3 linked regions of the Callithrix jacchus genome follow. The protein of the gene in region 2 binds, or shares a complex with, the protein of the main gene of each other region. Links are inferred from orthologs where the notes say so. Each region holds a gene or a part of one and is shown on either strand. Other genes may lie near its edges.

Region 1 (3,742 bases), on a different chromosome or scaffold from region 2:
ATATAAATATATTACATATTCTATTATAATATATTACATATATACTCTTTCTATATATAGAGTCAAGCATATGGAAAGTCAGGGCAGTGATAGACAGGAGCTGACAATTATCCAGAAATGCTCAGATGCATCTATTTAATTCTGACTATAATTCCTAGCCTATTATAAAATAGCCTTCTATAATACTTAAGCTTCTAAGATGTCTTATTTTTTAGAAAATAGATGTTTAACTATTTTCATTAGTTGGATTATTTGGAAGCTAAAAGGAAAGCATCCAAATTATCTGATTCAGATCACTGTGTAGGGTCAACTCCAGCTGACTGTTACCCAAATTGTGGCGATTTACAGAAATTTCAGATTTGCCGTATTATGAAGTATGAACTGTATCTGCCTCTCCCATACTAAAATACCCACCATATTAACCTTTGCTTAATGAATGCCTTCTTTTGCTTCTTTGTCTTACTTACTCTGAGGTTGTCCAGCAAGACACAAATGGACAGTGACTTGGCTGCCAGCTGGTGTTAAAGCCAACTCCAAGAAAGTTATGTCAGTCTCCCAATAACCAAAGCAAAAGTTATTTTTCTACATATTTGCATTCCAATTCTCTAGGATGCCCGAAAGTGACATTTTCTCTCTCCTTAGGGATTCCCGATAAGGGAGAAAAAGCATAAGAACAATAAAGAAAATGGAAAGGACAAAAGATTCAAGTTATCCAACCCCCAAGTAATGACTCGGGAAATATATTCGCTTTTGATTAATAACAAAGCAAATGAAAACTGTATTTTTGTCGGGCGCAGTAGCTCACATCTGTAATCCCAGCACTTTGGGAAGCCAAGGTGGGTGGATCGTCCTGAGCTCAGGAGTTGAAGACCAGCCTGGGCAACGTGGCAACACCCCATCTCTACGAAAAATACAAAAGTAAAAAAAAAACAAAAACCGGCCGGGCATGATGGCCTGCACCTGAGGTCCCAGCTACTCAGGAGGCTGAGGTGGGAGGATACTTAGGCCTGAGAGGCAGAGGTTACAGTGAGCCGAGATTGAGCCACTGCAATCCGGCCTGACAGTGACACTCTGTCTCACACACACAAATAAAGGGGAAATGTATTTTCTGTGCCTTGTACAGAGGTTACACAAGAAGCCTCTTGTGGTGGAAATCAAAGCACGCAGCCTAATTTATACCTGTGTAGCGAAGAGAGCCCTGGAATGGACTTGCTCTTCCTGGTGTCTTGGAACTGACAGCTGTCTCTCCGTGTTAGTTATACTCAGTCTCTATATCCTTAGGCGTCCGATGATAAGGCTGGACTAGAATAACCCTTCAAGCCATGCCTTTATAGAAATCTGGTGCTTCCCTATTAAAACTAAATGCATGAGATTCTGCTTCCACCTCAACTGCCGCAACACCCAAGCAGAGAGTAGAGAAAATTTAAAATGTCTGTTACGCTTTTTCCCCCTACAATGACAGCATATGCTAATGTTTACCACCTCTTAAGCATTGGCAAATGATAAATCATCATCGTGGGCCACTGCTGACGTCTCATTTAACCTTCACAAACCCCAGAAAATGTAAGTATCATTGCTTCTATATTACTAAAGTTTAAGGAGATTACATAACCTGGACAAGATCACAAAGCAAACGGTAACGTCTGGCTTTGAACCTAAACCCTCTGGTTCCAAAGTCTCACCTCTTAAACGTTACTATACACTCTCTTCAAAGATTAACACACAAAAATGTTAATAACATAATTACTCTAAGTTTCACTTTTTGTGTGTGTGGATTTGTATTTATGACCGATTGTAAGGCTTATGTGTAATGTAAGCATCTTTTGTTTAAACTAGAATTAGTCCGTTTTTATGAAGGCAACACCTTGACCTCCACGAGCACAATCATCCAAATGGAGATAGAAACCCCTAACTCTCTCAGAGGCCTGAGTTAGTTTTCTAGCACTCTTTCTCACACGAGGGAAATGTGCGTGCGGCCAGTTCAAAATCTGCCGTAACCTGTGTCTATTAGGGACCTCTTGGGCGTAATAAGACAATATTCCTTCTTCGCAGTTTGAAAGAAGGATAATCAACAGATGACCAGTACCGGAACAGAGTTCAGACTGCAATTCATGAGATCTCAGTCCTTTCCTTCAGTGAATTTTTTCGAGCCCTTTTCAGGTGCAGCTTTGAAGGTTAAAACGAGACACTGGGGTCAGTGGGTCCCTAAGAGGCACCAGTACAGACACAGGTGTGCTTCCCTGCTCCGTGGTGCTAAGGACCAAGCTCTGAAGCGTCCTTAGAGACCAAGGGTCTATCCGTGGGGTTCACCAGGCCTCCTTTCCCAGGATCGGCCCATGACTCAAGGAACTGGGGCGGGGGAGAAGTCGCTTTCCAGAAGCCTTCCGGCCACACCGGTACTGTATTCCACTCTTTCCCTCCGCGGCTCCCCGCACGCTCCCGGGAAAAAGCGGTTCCCTTCTCTTCCCTGGACACCCAAAGATTCCGAACCTCGGCTCCCAACCGGGAGCGGCCTCCGCGGCAGGGCCGCGGGCACTCACCGTCGTTCTCGTCGCTGTGCCGCCGCCGCGACATGCCGCCCTACGGTGCGCCGCGGAGCCGAGAGGCCAGGCGGTAAGCCCTGCAGGAACTGCCCGGCCGTTGGCCGGCGCGAGGGCAGCTGCGAAGCGCGCGGATGCGCCGGCACGCAGGCGCAGTCGCTCGCCACGGCTCCCGGAAGCGCAGAAGAGGCCGCTGGGTGAGCTCAGAGCCGAAAGAGCCGGCGTGCAGAAGCTCAGAGGGCTACGGGCGTCGGGCCCGCACGCAACCGCCCCCTTCGGGCTGCCTCCGCCTGCCGGCTGCTTCTTTCTCCCGCCTTCCGCTCTATGTCCTTCCGGGGCCACGCAGAAAGTGCCGCCGCTTCGACCAGTCAGAGCCCCCGGGCCAAGGTCGTCGTACGTCTGAAGGCAAGTGGTGCCGGCGGCCGCTCTAGTCCCCGCCTCCGTTCAGGCCGGTCGTTCGGGGCGTCTCAATGGTTTTCCCGGCGGCCCTTGCGCCGACGTCCAGGAGACTTCCGGAGCTTGGTGACGTCACGAGCGAGCTTTTCTACCCAAACATGCGGCGGGGGCCAGACTCGAGGGCAGTAAGCAGTGACAATTGCTAAGTGGAGATGGTGCAGGGAAGAGAGACCTAAGAAAGGATCAGGACTGGCGGGTATGTGCTCATCTACTCCCACTTTCCGGCTTTTGCCGCCTTGGGAAAAGTGGGCGGAGAGGTTGGGCCAAGCTGTGCACGCGGGGTGGGGCCTGGGCGGGAGGCGGTGCCGCACGTGCCGCCCCCTGGGATGGAAAGGCCGGTCCTGACGCGATCTTGCTGCTACCTGCTGCTCCTGGCTTGCCGGCTTGCCGTCATTTTACCTAAGTGTTTGCTTAAGAAGGAACAAATGATTTTTGGTCATCTGTCTTCAAGGATTATTGGGTGCCTATATGCCTGTGTGTGAATATTCCCTCCTCTGATGTCTTTCTGAGCACCATACTGGCTTACCTAACTACTTTGTCCATGGCCATCTGAAATTTCACTCTCTCGGACTAATTCTCTTTCAGTCTTATTTCAGTAAATTACGTCATCGATCGGCTGCTTAATCCAAAAGTTTAGGGAGTCTTAGTTCTTTTCCCTCACTTTTTACATAACAATTATTTGTAAACCCTGCGTGCTCTGCTTTCAACACAAATCCAGAATCAGATCGTGTTACTGCTTTGTTTAA
Region 2 (3,743 bases):
CAGGCACGGAAGCCTATGTCCTGGTATTAGACCCTCACTACTGGGGCGCTCCAAAAAGCCCCAGTGAACTACAGGCTGCTGGGTGGGTGGGCTGGCGAGAGATGAATGAGGCCTTTGACCCCAACTCTTTCTACAACCTGTGCTTGACCAGCCATAGCTCAGAACCGCAACAGCACCCCCTGGACTGAGGGTGAAGTTCAGAACTGAGACTCTCCAGTCCCAGACATGCACCTGTGTACCTGGGGCTGGTGCCCCCGCAGAGCCTGGGCCTTTTGACAGCAGTAATAAAAGTGGCAGGGCTGAGCAACACCTCGGGAATTCCTTTCGAAGGATGGGGGCGACATGTAACATACATGAGTCAGAAGCCCTGTGGAAGTGCTTTTATTGGCAGTAAGGCTGATCGTACAAAAAATTCTCAAGAGTTGGAGGGAACCAGGTAGTCACAAGTAAAGGATGATACAGGAGTGAGGAAGTGAGGAACAGTGACAGTTCAAAAGAAATCAACGTCGTCTGGGGCATCCAGGTCCCGATATTCCACAATGGCCCTTGGGTCTCCACGAACCATCCTGTGAGATGAGAGGTAAAGTATGAGAGCTGAGGGCCCCCAAAAGGGAGTTTGCAGGGGCAACAAAGCCTGGGCGCGTGCGCTCCGCCTCACCTGTTGCGAGGTTTCCCAGGATAACCTCCCTGGCCTCGGAAGGCATCGTAGTTCCCTCGGCCAGCACCATACGGGGCGTGGGGATATGGAGGGCCTCCTGTGGGGACTGCAGGGCGGACAGCACCAGCTATGACAGAGATCAGCGTTGAGTTGCAAAACTATGTCCTCAACTCCATCCTCTGTTTCTTTCTCCCTTTCGCCCAATGTCACACTCACCAAGCCCCTTCATCTCCCTCCTCTACTTACCTCCATAGCCCAAGATCGGAGGCCGGGGCTGACCGTAGGGCATCAGGCCCTGGGGAGTCTGGTGTGGGTAGGGGAGTCCCGGGGTCAAACCTGGGGGGAGTACAACAGGGACAGGGACGTGAATTACTGCGGGGGGGGGAGGGGTGGGAACAACTGACTTTTAGGGCTATGGCCTGAGGATGAGGCAGAAACTTCTCAGGCCAACAGGTAAGAGAAACAGGAGTCCCTGGACAGTCAAGGGACGGGGGACATGTGACCCTCATGGATCGTATCTTACTCTGGGCAGGGCCAGGTGGCTGGGCTGGCTTGATCTCAGGCAGAGCTGGGCGCTTGGCATCAGTGAGGAAGTTGTTAAAAAACGCAACCTCCTTTTTCACTTCCTCAATTTTCTCAGCATGCTTGTTGAAGATATGCTTGCGCACAAACTCAGGACCCTGAGTGGAGAGAGGAGCGGGGTCACAACAGCCACATAACACTTGCCTCGATCACAGGCCCGACCTGAAAGGATTCCCAGCTCCCACCTGCCAGTCTAGTGAGCAGTCCTCAACTCCCACCCCAGCCCAGGCCTTTAGGGGCTTCCTGTCTCAGCCCCACCTCCCACCACCCTGGCACGCCCATTCTCCAACATCCAGACCTTGAATTTCTTGCCGCTGAGAGGACACAGCCACTTATCCTTGCCCAGTTCCTGCGTGTTGGAGGTAACGAATTTCTCCACTTCCTGCTCTGGGTCTTTGCGGCCCATCTTCTGGGCCTCTTCCTCTGAAAGCGACTCCCGCACACTGAGCAATGGCGTGAGCTTCTCCTCAAACGTCTTCTGCCACTCCAGCACTATGGTTTGGGAACAGAGGAAGGAAAGTTGGGAAGGGAGCTGGAAGGAAGGGTGGGAGGGGCTGGAGGACCAAGGCAAGAGGCAGCCAGGGAGAAAGGGGAACCTGGAGCTCACCTTCCCCATGACTGATGCGGTTGGGTGGCATGGGCCCCCGAACGTGGATGATGCCACAACGATTGGGCATCTCGTCCTCGTTGGGGTACTCACAGGTGTTGTAATAATCCAAGGAATGCACAATGCGCAGGTAGAGGAGAAGCTTGTCCAATACCTGAGTTGAGTATGGGTGCTCAGCTCCTGCTCCTGCCCTTACCACCCGACCCCCACATCCCTGTGCAGCCACTGCTGGCACCTTGATCAGCTTCTCATCCCGCTCCACATTGATCTCTGCCGGGTTCCCTTCCTTAGGAGGCTCCTCAGGTGGGGCACCCCCGCTGCTCCCCAGCAGCTCCTCCTCCTCAGCACTCACTTCCTCGATCAGGTAGTCTGTGATATTCTTCAAGATCGGGTTTTGCGAGGGCAGGCTCTGGTGGAAGGAAGAGGGGCAAGTAAGGCAGAGAAAGACCTTCAGGGCAGGTAACCTGAGACCTTCCGAATGTGAAGAGTGGTGAGGGGACAGGAGTTCACCAGACAGAACTGGTGCCTTTTGCCCCCTTGGGATTTGTCTTCATTTTTGCCTTTGTTCCACCCCAGCCCACAAATGACCACTAGCATGCCCCAGTTCTGCTGGAAGCTGGAGGAGGTGCTACAGACAGGTGAGGTTAGAGGTACCCACAGCAGAGGAGGTGCTATCAGCTGCCCCTGACAGTCCTGCGGGAGTCACTGACCGTTGGCGGGGGAGGCGTCCCTGGCTCCGAGGCCCACAGCTGGGTCCTGTCGTCCAGCGTGTGGACCAGCTTGGCTGCCAGCTTGATGTCATTGCGCACGATCTGCTTGTGCTGGGTGATGCCGTTGATGTTACGGACACGTCGGGTCAGGTCCCTGTTCACACCGGGGCTCAGCTCGCACTCCCGGAGCTGGAGGGCAGACATCAGAAGTTTACTCCACTAACCCCACTTGCCAGGGAGACGTAGCAGCTCTAAGACCCTCCCCTCTTGAGTACCAGCGATCGATCAACCTGTAAGCTCCCTCAGGACCGGGACCTGACAGGTAGGTCCTGTCTTTGTCTGCCTACATTGCCTACGTTGCCTCTGGGCAAGGCTCTAGGGCAGTTACCAGGACAGATAGGTTAGCCTCCCACTCTCTTCCCCAGACAGTCCCACCCGCAATACTCACACGGATGTTCTGCAGATTCCAACAGATCTCTTTAATGTTAACACTGCGGTCAAAGGTCACCCAGCCACGACGGAAAAACCTACAGAAGAAAATGTTAGGGCAGTCAAGCGAGGGAGGTGGTGCTGGCCATCAACGTTCCCCTGCACTTTTTCCTCCAACACACCTGGTTACTCACCTCCTCTCTGGCTGGGGCTCTGAGAGTGCCACCCGCATAAAGCCTGGGTACCTTTTACAAAGCTGCAAGAAGCAGAAAACCAGCCCTATTTAGTGACTCAAGGATTCATTCGATTCTTCCTCCAATCCCCCACTGTCCTCAGAACCCTAGAGACTAACTGCCTGGTCACTCTTCCCATCCTTGAGCAGGGCAAAACCACTGAAGGGCTTCAGAACACCAGCATCTGAAAGCCAATGGCATGATCAAGACGAGCCCTCAGAGGGCATGAGCTCCTGGGGAAGGGGCCCTCCCTATTAGGTGAAACGGGGGCCCCACTGCCTTCCCTCTGCTCTCCACTTCTCCCCACTCACAGAGATGATCTCAGCCCGGGAGATATTGGGCGCAATGTTACGCATGAAGAGGGAGCAGGTCTTATGCAGCGGCCGCGGCTTGCACTCCAGCCCCGCAGCGTCCTTGGGCTTCTCCCATTCTTCCTCCTTGGGCTTCTCTTTCTCCTTGAGCGCTGCTTCTAGGCAGGAAGTTGGTGCAGTAGGAGTTGGTGTGTTTTTATTGCTGATTTTGGT
Region 3 (3,743 bases), on a different chromosome or scaffold from region 2:
GCTGTCACTGATTTGTTAACATGGATGGGGCATCTTCTTTTTCTACTTTCCTCACACATAAGTAAGGTCCAAATAAATAGCCTACAGTTTAAGATAACTACGGTACAAGTACTTAACTATATGAATATGGATTCCATTCACAGAATGCTAGAAATTCCACATGACAGTATGGTATTATTATCTAAATAAAGCTCTAGGTTTTAGACTGAAGAGATGAATAATAGACAAAGTCAAAAGTTTTCAGTTTTCATTTTACATTGAAGTTAAAAATGGTTAGGATGTGGAATTGTCTGAAGTAATAGCTGTAAAAGTGGTAGAAGTGCAAATCATGCCTGGCACTAAAGCATCTAAAAACCTGACCAGCCGGGATCAGTGGTTCATATCTGTAATCCCAACACTTTGGGAAGCCCAGGCAGGTAGATTGCTTGAGTCCCCGAGTTTGAGACTAGCCTGAACACTGCAGGGAGACCTGTCTCTACAAAAAGCCATATGTAGTGGTGCGAACCTGTGGTCCCAGCTTCTCCAGAGGCTGAGGTGGGAGGATCACTTGGGCTTAGGATGCTGAGGCTGCAGAATCGTGATTGTGCCACTGCACTTCAGCCGAAGCAATAGAGCTAGTCTCTGTCTCAAAAAATAAATAAGTCTTGTTTTATTTGAGACATACTCTCACTCTGTCGCCCAGGCTGGAATGCATAAATAATAATAAATCATTTTAAGACATAGTCTCATTCTGTCACCCAGGCTGGAGTGCAGTGGCATGATCTCAACTCACTGCAACCGCCTTCTGGGTTCCAAGCGACTCTCCTGCCCCAGCCTCCCAAGTAGCCAGGATTACAGGCAACCGCCACCATGCCCAGCTAATTTTTGTATTTTTAGTAGAGATGGGGTTTCACCATCTTGGCCGGGCTGGTCTTGAACTCCTGACCTCGTTATCCACCTGTCCTGGCCTCCCAAAGTGCTGGGATTACACGTGTGCGCCACCGTGTCGTGCCCGTCCTTAAAAATTTTTTTTTTTTGAGATGGAGTCTCGCTGTGTTGCCCAAGCTGGAGTGCAGTGGCGCGATCTCAGGTCACTGCAACCTCCGCCTCCTGGGTTCAAGCATTCTCCTTTCAGCCTCCGGAGTAGCTGGGACTACAGGCGCGCCCCACCACGCCCAGCTAATTTTTTGTATTTTGAGTAGAGACGGGGTTTCATCATGTTGGCCAGGATGATCTCGATCTGTTGACGTCATGATCTGGCCACCTCTGACTCCCCAAGTTCTGGGATTACAGGCGTGAGCCACCATGCTCGGCTGAATAAATTTAAGAGCTTCCCCAATTTGCTGTCAAACAAAATTTCCTTTTCCCTACTTTAGTAACACATTTCACACATTCTCCACACCTACCCTCTGCTATGTACAGCCCTTCATTTCCCAGTCACATGGGGATTCCCCCCGCTTTTCTGAATCTTCACTACTTCTGTCTTAACTCACTTCTGCTTAGATTCTGATTACTTCCCTCCATTTATAATCCATACTACGGGGAATTATGAGCTCGTCGAGTGCAAAAATCTGTCTTCCCTCTCCCTCTAGGGTTTAGTACAAGGCTTTAGCAACAGCACTCAATAAACATTTACTAAATAACTGGGTTAAAGAGTCCCGCTAGCCCCAACCGTATTCCATCCCTGCCTTTGTTGATACTGAAAAGCCTACTCTGAATATCTGCAGCCTCCCCCTTTTTCACAAAATATAGTGATACAGTATTCGATATAGTTGGGACTAAAAATTTCCCTCTTCTGAAATGCAGCAACTCTCCCATCTTTACACCCTCAACGTGCCCAGCTTGACGGGTCCACCTCCTACTCCGAAGGTTCCCCGAGGGCGGAGTGAGGACTCCACTCGTGTCTCCCACGCACCGCGTACAGTTTCCGTAGGACCACCCTCCCAGTGAGGGGGCCCGAATCGCGGAAAGGCACTGCTTCGCTGATTTAAAAAACAAAGTAAAAAGCCCCGTGTCTGCATCAGGAAGGCGCCTCTACAGACTCAGGGAGTTAGGACACCCCTCCCCCTTGTTACGTAGTCACCTTCCCGAGGCAAACCGTGGAAACGGGAGCCACTACTACTACCACTCAAACCTCTCGGCGCTGGCCGGGGTACCGGGAGTGCCTGCTAGGGAACGGGAAAGCGAGCCTCAAATTCTCAATCTTCCAGAGAAAGTGGCTTCATCGATATCCAAACGCCCTTGCAGCACCCATTCCCTGCCTCCCCAGCAGGCACCGAGGCCCCACTTGGCGTTTGGGGACTCCAGCATAATGGGATGCAACACGAGACAAGAGCAAACCGTTTCTCAGCGTTCTGGCCCAGGGCCTTCCCCTCTCGCGGCCGGGCCTCCCTCACCCGGAAGTGCTGGTCCCGGTACTGGCTCAGCTCCACGTAGGAGTCGCTGCGCAGCGCCTTCAGGAGGCCACCCGACATAGCGCAGAGAAGCGGACGAGGATGCGACAACTCCCGACACGAGGCGGCGACTGCCGTGGCGGAAGCGGAGACGGGCGGAGACGCGCATCTTATTGGACCCAATCCGGGCGACAGTATCGTCATCAAGCTGCGCGAGCACAAAAGGCGTCGGGTCGGGCCCGCGGAGCAGAAGGTAAGGGCGGCGCGCTGCGGTTTTCGGGCGCCGGGAGAGGATGGTGCTCCGACGGCTGCTGGCCGCCTTGCTGCACAGCCCGCAGCTAGTGGATCGTCTGTCGGAGTCGTGGCCTATCCGACGTGCGGCGCAGCTCACAGCCTTCGCACTGCTCCAGGCCCAGCTGCGGGGCCAAGACGCGGCCCGCCGCCTGCGGGACCTCGCGGCTGGGCCCGCGGGCTCCCTGGGCCGCCGCGTTGAGCGATTCAAAGACGCTTTCACCCAGGAGCTACGCCGCGGCCTCCGGGGCCGCTCAGGGCCACCACCAGGTAGCCAGAGGGGCCCGGGCGCAAACATTTAAGCCTGGGCTGCGCGGGGCTGAGGCCGCTTCTGGGCTCTATTCTGGCCTCGGCGTTGAGGGGTCATTCCGGGCACTGCGCACGGCCTCGAATCCTGACTCCGATTTTTGGCCTGCGGATATCCCACTCAGAAGAGCCTAGGCCAGACCGCCGTCTCCGTTGAAGTCTTGTGATTTGACAAGGCACAGTGTGGAGAAAGACCCCGAAGCCTAACAGAGGTGAAGATGGGCTGGGTCCAGTCACAGCACCTATGGAGAGCCACCGGCCGAAGCCACAGAGCCTTTCCTCTGCAAATGGGATTGAAACTCTTGACAGATGCTGCTGAATCTGCACGGGTATAGCAGGACACTTAATTCCAGGGACGATATGGATAAAAAGACCACCCTACAGCTGCCAAAATCCTTTGATTAAATGTGTGAGCTGATTAATAGGCATGAGTGTGATACTTCTCAGGCAAGATGGATGAAGAATACTGGGGACTGTAGGCCTATGGTAATAATAAACACATACTTTATGAAATGAGTATTTATTCTGTGCTGCGACTTGCTAATAGCATTCTGTGTGTGTGTTTTTGTGTCATCTCCTTAAAACCACATTCACATGAGGAAGCAGAGATGGGGTAGTCTCATTGTGTTGCCTCGGCTGGTCTCAAACTCGAGCCCAACTGATCCTCCTGCCTCAGCCTCCCAAAGTGCTGGGATTACAAACAAGAGCCACTGAAACAGAAACAGAGGCTGCTGCTTAAGTTGCCCAAAGCCTTGCAGAGTAGGATGTGGGCAG

What was found.
Region 1: the proteins of SRRT (region 2) and NCBP1 are in contact, whole or in part, in a cryo-EM structure (PDB 8PMP), measured with the Homo sapiens proteins. The link is inferred for Callithrix jacchus from reciprocal best matches to the Homo sapiens genes SRRT and NCBP1. Residues at the interface, in NP_056992.4 of Homo sapiens: Asp857, Pro858, Arg859, Val862, Glu863, Tyr864, Arg865, Asp866, Leu867, Asp868, Ala869, Asp872, Asp874, Phe875, Phe876; in NP_002477.1 of Homo sapiens: Tyr461, Gln463, Lys511, Lys557, Ser558, Ser560, His561, Ser564, Ala567, Lys568, His570, Lys607, Ile609, Arg610, Thr611, Gln612, Met648, His651, Glu705.
Region 3: the proteins of SRRT (region 2) and NCBP2 are in contact, whole or in part, in a cryo-EM structure (PDB 8PMP), measured with the Homo sapiens proteins. The link is inferred for Callithrix jacchus from reciprocal best matches to the Homo sapiens genes SRRT and NCBP2. Residues at the interface, in NP_056992.4 of Homo sapiens: Asp857, Arg859, Ala860, Ile861, Val862, Glu863, Tyr864, Arg865, Ala869, Asp874; in NP_031388.2 of Homo sapiens: Ser48, Phe49, Tyr50, Thr51, Thr52, Glu53, Gln55, Lys67, Met71, Leu73, Met76, Lys77, Lys78, Thr79, Ala80, Tyr89, Asp107, Glu121.

Annotation. Positions count from the first base shown.
Region 1 is NC_133502.1:145,761,330-145,765,071, reverse strand, and holds the start of NCBP1 (nuclear cap-binding protein subunit 1), read right to left. Parts: upstream 2,853-3,742; 5' UTR 2,575-2,852; coding exon 2,541-2,574; intron 1-2,540. UniProt on the Homo sapiens protein: Component of the cap-binding complex (CBC), which binds cotranscriptionally to the 5'-cap of pre-mRNAs and is involved in various processes such as pre-mRNA splicing, translation regulation, nonsense-mediated mRNA decay, RNA-mediated gene silencing (RNAi) by microRNAs (miRNAs) and mRNA export.
Region 2 is NC_133503.1:12,837,542-12,841,284, forward strand, and holds the end of SRRT (serrate RNA effector molecule homolog), read right to left. Parts: intron 3,689-3,743; coding exon 3,531-3,688; intron 3,243-3,530; coding exon 3,181-3,242; intron 3,085-3,180; coding exon 3,006-3,084; intron 2,747-3,005; coding exon 2,558-2,746; intron 2,257-2,557; coding exon 2,083-2,256; intron 2,002-2,082; coding exon 1,848-2,001; intron 1,733-1,847; coding exon 1,539-1,732; intron 1,339-1,538; coding exon 1,182-1,338; intron 1,007-1,181; coding exon 905-1,006; intron 786-904; coding exon 659-785; intron 567-658; coding exon 491-566; 3' UTR 366-490; downstream 1-365. Other genes in the region: UFSP1 (ufm1-specific protease 1), read left to right, coding at 1-188. UniProt on the Homo sapiens protein: Acts as a mediator between the cap-binding complex (CBC) and the primary microRNAs (miRNAs) processing machinery during cell proliferation.
Region 3 is NC_133516.1:25,207,258-25,211,000, reverse strand, and holds the start of NCBP2 (nuclear cap-binding protein subunit 2), read right to left. Parts: upstream 2,506-3,743; 5' UTR 2,454-2,505; coding exon 2,376-2,453; exon of another isoform or gene 2,320-2,375; intron 1-2,319. Other genes in the region: protein NCBP2AS2, read left to right, coding at 2,666-2,965. UniProt on the Homo sapiens protein: Component of the cap-binding complex (CBC), which binds co-transcriptionally to the 5' cap of pre-mRNAs and is involved in various processes such as pre-mRNA splicing, translation regulation, nonsense-mediated mRNA decay, RNA-mediated gene silencing (RNAi) by microRNAs (miRNAs) and mRNA export.